Kluyveromyces lactis: one gene and its partner. The protein of the gene in region 2 interacts with the protein of the main gene of each other region in a pairwise test. Links are inferred from orthologs where the notes say so. Each region holds a gene or a part of one and is shown on either strand. Other genes may lie near its edges.

Region 1 (3,490 bases), on a different chromosome or scaffold from region 2:
AGTGTAGGCCAAAGGCAATTGATGTGCTTGGCTCGTGCCTTGTTGATTTCAAGTAATATCTTGATTTTGGATGAAGCAACTGCAGCTGTTGATGTTGAAACGGATCAATTGATCCAAAAGACGATTAGAAACGCATTTAAGGAAAGAACAATCTTAACAATTGCTCACAGGATTAACACAATTATGGACAGTGATAGAATTATAGTGTTGGATAAAGGTAGAGTAACAGAGTTCGACACTCCTCAGAATTTGTTACAGAAGAAGGATTCTATTTTCTATTCGTTATGTCTTGAAGCCGGCTTAACGGAGTGAAACCCCCTCAAGTTGTATTATCATAACAGAGATTTTGTTTATTTAAGTACTTTTGTAATAATTTTGTTAAGCAATTGTTTCCTAGTTGAGATGCCCTATCAGAATTATAAATAATATTCGGTTTATCGTAAGAAACGTGTAAATAGTTACATTTCTGCTGTGATTAAAAGATGCTTTATATAATACGAAATAAAAACAAAAAAAGAATATACTTCTGTCAAGCAGATTTCATTACATTGAACTTATTTGAATTTGGAGACGTATTGGTCTGCTTGATTAGCAAAATTCGTCAATGTTTCGTTTGCTGGATCAGGGCCAATAGAGAAAGAAGGGTTAGAATTGGAATTAGAGTTAGCGCCACTTTCAAGTTGTTGTGGGGTCACTTGAGCCTGGGGAGGAGTAGAGGCGATTGTCTGTTGAGTTTGCTCTTCAGTTTGGTGTTGTTGCTGCTGCTGTTGCTTAGAGGCAGCCTCCGCGGCGGCGACAGTGGCAGCGGCTACTTGGTCGTCGAAAGTAGCATTTGTATTGATTTGTGGGTCACCGATTTGATGGAAATCCAAGATCTCGGAATACATCATTACACGCCAGGTGTCAACAGGTAAGTCAGCATCGTTGAAATTCCAATCAAACTTAGCTTCTGCGATAGGTTCGTCGGTTGGGTCATGATATGGGGAAAGGTAAGGATGGGCCAAGGCATCAGCTGCTGTAATTCTCTTCTTTGGATCGAACACAAGCATTTTTTCTAGAAGATCTATAGCATCTGGTTCCAAGTTCTGGAACCTCGAACTGAATGGTACAGGATCTCTATGAGGTAATGAAGTAACAAATTTGAGAGTGTTCTCTGAGCAAATAGTGTCTATGACATCTTTTGGAGGCGATCCTAATAGATCAGTGATGATAGAAAATTGATGCACGTGATCTTTACCTGGGAACAAAGGCTTACCCTCGATCATTTCGGCAAAGATACAACCAGCAGACCAGATGTCTACTTCAACATTATATTTTTGCCAGGTCAACATGATTTCTGGGGCTCTATAGTAACGGGTTGACACGTAACCAGTCATTTGAGGATCTTGAATCCTAGCAAGTCCGAAATCGCAGATCTTTAAATCACAGTTCTCATTGATCAAGATATTGGAAGGTTTCAAATCTCTATGGATCACACCTGCGGAATGAACGTATTTAAGCCCCCTCAAGATCTGGTATAAGAAATATTGAACGAATTGTTTTTCCAAAGGCCTTGTCTGCAACAATCTATGTAGATCCGTCCCTTGCAATTCAGTGACGAAATAAATATCTTCTAATGGTGACAAGAAGATATCTTCGAGACAAATCAAATTCTCATGCCTTAGATGCTTTAACAATTTGAGTTCCCTATACGTTCTTTTTGCCAGTACGGAAGTAGAAAACGGTTTCATAATCTTCTTAATCGCTACAGGCTGGCTTGTTAGCGTATCTGTAGCAGAACAAACCAACCCGAAGGCACCCATACCAACCGGGTTCAAATTAGTATACCGATTGGTAATTTCGAAAACTGTACCAAAAATTTGAGTCCTAATAAATTCCTCATTCGACATTTTATTTCAATTGGAAAAACGTGTCCAGCTTCGATATCCTCGAGTTTTTGGTTCAACGAAGGATACGTATATGAATCTAATTCTTTGGGAGATCGCTCGAACTGGCAGATAACTTAAGCAACGTTATAGCAATTGTTGTCGAAGGGTCTCCTAGTTTTGTTTCTATCAAGTTTTCTTTAATTTTCAATTTTTTAAATTTAACGACTTGAATATGAAATTCAACGGTTCTAATTCACTAAAAAAAAAAGGAAGGGCCTGGCAAAAAACGATGTCCATTCACCGATAATGGAGGGGAAAGTGTCACAGTGGGAATTATATAAAACACTGTTTCGAAGATTTTATCACCGTTTGGTTCTGTGATTAACCCTGAAATACTGCCTGTGTACTTGTTTCCTATTTAAGACGTAACAACAGCTCTGACAGATAGGATCGACGTCGGCTTGATAGATTGGGTTATTATATGTGTATGCATGTATGTATGTAGAGTAAGATTTGCGAACAGGAGGGGCAGTGGCGGATTATGATACATGACATCCGGGTAATACTTCTACTGATATCACGTGATAAACCAAGTAAGAAACCCTTGAGAAGACCACCCAATTATTGCACACCTGTGAATACCGTGACGTTACATATTAATACTGGTGACCATAAACGTTAAAGGTACTTCTTGATCAATAATTATACATTTCCTCATTTAAAGTTTCTTTGTAAGTCGAAATGACAGTTTTTGGACAGACATCAATTTGAATAAAGTATGGTTTGAAACCGCCTACTTACATACAACGTGATCTGATAAGAAAACTTACGAGACAGGGTAATAGATGCATAGAAACGGATTAGTAACTTGATGTTACCCGGGAAATCACACCTCTTGGTTTTCTAGGCATGGAATAGAAAAAATGGACGAACCGTGAGATGATTTGCAGTAGGTAAAACCCACCGGCCGCGCCCTTGACGCTCTGTCGTAGTTTGTAACCTACTATCGGCGTTTCCAGGGTCTATTTACAAATCAAGCCATGACATCCTTCTCTACTGGTGACTGATCTGACTTACACTCAACATGAGTCGAACCCGCGACTCTGGAATACGACGATATACTTGAGATTTGTGATTAGCGCCTTTAAAGCCCTATCATGGAACCCTTGAAACGCGATCGCACAGGGTAAACAAAGCACACCATCTTGCAGAAGCAAGCAGACAAAGGGGAACGAATCTGATTAAAGAGTGAAATGCCCAAAGTCTAGAACCTTTTTACAGGGTACCAAATATAGAAGATTACGCAAAACTATAAAACCAAAACAACGGAAATCAAAACAAAAAGAGTCCGCAGCAACTACGTAATTTTTTCGTGGATTCTATTGCCTTGTAGTATTGCGTAGAAAATTGCTCGTAGAAAATAATCTCCCCCTCAGTTCTACCTGAAAAATTTCGAGTTCATATCGCTCGCTATCTGATATCTTGAATGAGACCATCTTTTATTTTTTCTCATCTGGAGTGGGATTTTTTTAATATCTTGCCTATGTTACTATAGATATGCGTTGCTAGCTATCTTCGATGCGGGCGTGCGTTATTTGCCTATTACTGAACTTTGAGCACTA
Region 2 (3,801 bases):
TAATGTTAAGAGTTAAACCAAAGAAGTCTCAGCAGACACATGTCGATTACCAGAAAGGACCAAACTGCTACAACCGTTTGAAATGTCAGCTTCATTTGTAACGGTCAGATCTAAGGCAATTTCTTTAGAATCACAAACGGATTCTCTGTTGACTAAATATTCTTCTTTTGCTCAAACAACAAGTTCTGAACCGTCAGGACAAGAAACGCAATTGCAGGAGAAACTAGAGAAGATTCTCAACCAGAGACAGGAGACAGTGGAATCTTTACAAAGAATTGCAGACAGTGAAAGTAATATATCCACGTCCAAGCTATCACAGCTACAGCGCCATAGGGAAACATTACAAGACAATTGGCAAACGTTCCGTGACATTCGCTCCTCCATACAACAAGAACGCAATCGCCTTAACCTCTTGTTTTCAGTGAAGAAAGATTTACAAAATAGTGCTAGTGATAATCAAAATGAATATATTCAAGATGAGGCTCGGAGAGTCGAAAATTCTCACACAGTGGTGGATTCTTTGATAGACCAGGCTTATGAAACCAGAGAGCAGTTCATGTCACAACGAGTGTTTTTACAAAGGTCTAGTGACAGAATCTTACAGACTTTGCAACACATTCCTTTGATTAATAATGTGATATCAAAGATAAACACTAGAAGAAAGAAGAATGCTGTAATATTGGCATCCTTAATATCAATTTGTATCTTAGTACTATTTTTTACAGCATAAATAGTATCAACTGAGGTAATTAAAACTTGATAAGATCACTGTTAATGCTATGATAGGTACGTAATTCGTTATAAAGGGAAGAATGCATTTGTGTTTGTTCTCATGCGCTTCTGTCACTATGCTTTTGGATGAAATTTGGTCGGGAGTAGGTTGTTTCTTCTGATTCGAAGATTGTAGGAATACCTGTGCTAGGATTTCTTGTCTTTGAATTCCTCAATACGCTCTTGAAATGGACTTGTTTGTTCTCAGACGTCTGAGATCTGTGGCTTTCTACGTTTGAGGTTGTGTTATTAGTACCGATGGTTTCTAAATCAGAACCAACGAACCCAGATGATGTTTTCACCTTTAGGAGTTCCCAATGTCTTCTAAACCAATCGGTATAAGCTGAAAGTGGTAAGTTTAGAGGTGATTCGTGCCCTTGATATATGCAAAAATCATATACTAAACCACCAGTGAAACTTCCCACGAATGGAACGACCATTGGAACCCAGAAGAAATGGTGATGCGTGTTAAAAATCACATCTTTGTCCATCCCGATTGTTAAGAGAGCTAGCCTAGGTCCCATATCTCTCGCAGGATTCAAAACAGCACCTGTCTGGTATGCGCCTGCTGCATTGAGAATAAACATAAGAATGAAAAGCATCATAGGAAAAAGGTCCGTGGACAAACATGTATAAGGATCTGTTAACGAGAAAATTCCACACTGCAGCATGGCCCCTATTAGAAATTCTGCAATTATTTGTCTTGATGTAGAGAGATAATCCAATGGCACGACACTGAACATTGCCAATACACTTTCCTCCAAATGCCAGTTTGGATATACATGTTCAATAACCTCTCGATAGTACCACAAAATTAATAAGGTTCCAATATACGAGCCCAGGTATTGTCCCATAAAATAAACACCTAATTTTCTCCAAGGGAATCCTCTATAAACAAAATTTGACACCGTAATTGCTGGATTCAGATGTGCACCCGAAATTGCACTACCACCTGCTGCAAAATAACCCATTACCACAGCCGCAGCCCAACCAAAGGCAACAGTTGCGAAATTACCTGCAACATCTGGAGTTGCAAGATATTGCAGCATAGCTATTTGATCAGACTCCATGTTATTCAACTGAATAATTTGATTAAATTTGTTAATTTGATTTTGTTGTGAAAGTTTCCTTTGACAGTTAACAGCAGTACCAAACATCATCATAATCATGGTACCTAAAAACTCACCGAAAAATTCCTTCATGTGTTGGTACTTAAACGATGACCACTTATTGATCGGATAATATGTCGAAGGTAAAACTGTGGGTGTTTGAGGGTTTTGATATAAAGTCTTTGGTTTCACCATCATAGTCACGGCACCATTCACGTTGCTCGGATCATTTGGATCTGCTGCAGTTTGACTGTTTTGATTAGGTCCCGTCGTCGATCTAGACATCACGGATCCCGGACCTTCTGTAGGCCTAGGTGGCATGACGTTAGAAGTTACGGTGTTACTTCTTATCCTCCTATAGTTATTCATATTTAGTGACGTATTCGGTACCACCTCTTGCACAGGAAAATAAGAACCTTCGTCCAGATATTGTTGCACGTAGGCAGTAACAGGAACCGTAGCCCCATCATCTGCACTATCGTTATCATCGTCATAACCGCCTTCGCCTGAGATTCTACTTTCATTCCCGTCAACGCTACCTGTCGGATAACGATGATTCACATTTGCAAAGTCATCGTTCTGCCAGTCACCATTGGATATTCCAGCGTCTTTGACAGGCTCATATTGGGCCGTCTGTGACATTTCAACCGCAAATTATGGCTGCAGCTACTATAGGATTCTGATTATCTAGTATTGCTAGAGTTCTCGTTTCAACTAGTGTTCGGCAAGTCGTAAATATCCGAAATCTGTACAGTTAATTAAAAAACTTTCGCAAAATTATAGATATTATTGATATGTAAACATGAAAAATATCCATTATTCGAAAGATGAGTTAGTTATGTGAACGTTTCTATAATATTTACAACTACCACGGCTGAGGGTTCTTTTTTTTTTCCTTTTTTTCCGAGATTATCTAAGCTGACTTGCCTGCCTAGAACTTGGGCAAAACCGATAATCAAGACAAGTAGAACATCAGCCGTCATCTGGCAAGAAGAATTGACGGTTTGGTTTCACCTTTGTATTTTTCCTCAAATACTTAGAATTAGCTTTTAGTATTCTGATTCTGGTATGAGAGTGGCCGTTGGTCCAGGCGCAAAACGTGGGATCTGAGAAAGAGGAACAATATTACTGTACAAATGAGACTTGGCTTGGAGGATCGTCGCTATTACACACTGTTCTTTATGCTTTTCAAACATTCCAAGAAAAAAATTCAGAATGTCACATAGTGTTTTTGCATCGTTCCTTTTCAATGTTCAGAGGTAAAAGAGTTGGATAAGGAAAATCCATTCACATCATAAGTAACTTTCCACAAAAGAATGATACCGACAACCTTCTCCTACCAATTGAAAAAAAATGCGGGGTGCTGAAACACAGAAAAACAATCCTTCAGTCAAGGATAAGAGTTTCATTAATAACGGTCTCGAAATGTTGCTGCGGGAATCTTCTTTACACTCTTTCAAGAGTAGCTTATCTTAAGCAGAGAGCAATTGAAGTAAAATTCCCCACACCTGTGATGTGAAATCTAGACATAGTGTTTTCTCTCTAAGGTTACTTCTCTTTGTTTTGGTAGTTCTTTTTTTGTTAGGGCGTGGGGCTCCCCGTTGGATACAAACTAAAAAGATCAAAAATGCCAATTCGAGATTTTCAGCATATCGTGCGTGATATTGTCTCATCGGACAATCAGGATATCAAGAAATCTAGAGAATTGAACATGTCGGATAATTAGCATTGCGCCGTTGTTTCTATATCCCCACAGAAATTACCAGGAACCAAGTGATTTTCTCAAGGCGAAAGCTGGGAGATTTTCTGCACTAGCAGCTTTTGTTCGTTATTTTTCTCCGTTCTCCCACACTATAACAAAAAGTGGATTGGGAAACAACCCAAGTAAAAATAGGCACAAAAAGGCGAAAAATTCAAAGGA

Evidence for each region.
Region 1: the proteins of FPS1 (region 2) and HOG1 interact in a two-hybrid assay, tested with the Saccharomyces cerevisiae proteins (2 studies listed by BioGRID, with this or other methods). The link is inferred for Kluyveromyces lactis from reciprocal best matches to the Saccharomyces cerevisiae genes FPS1 and HOG1.

The regions. Positions count from the first base shown.
Region 1 is NC_006042.1:1,865,608-1,869,097, reverse strand, and holds HOG1 (mitogen-activated protein kinase HOG1), read right to left. Parts: upstream 1,890-3,490; coding exon 555-1,889; downstream 1-554. Other genes in the region: ATP-binding cassette glutathione S-conjugate transporter YCF1, read left to right, coding at 1-312. UniProt on the Saccharomyces cerevisiae protein: Proline-directed serine/threonine-protein kinase involved in a signal transduction pathway that is activated by changes in the osmolarity of the extracellular environment.
Region 2 is NC_006041.1:51,824-55,624, reverse strand, and holds FPS1 (Fps1p), read right to left. Parts: upstream 2,523-3,801; coding exon 831-2,522; downstream 1-830. Other genes in the region: GOS1 (Gos1p), read left to right, coding at 83-730. UniProt on the Saccharomyces cerevisiae protein: Channel protein for glycerol. Has a role in both glycerol influx and efflux. Plays a role in osmoregulation: under osmotic stress the channel is apparently closed to allow accumulation of glycerol in the cell under hyperosmotic conditions.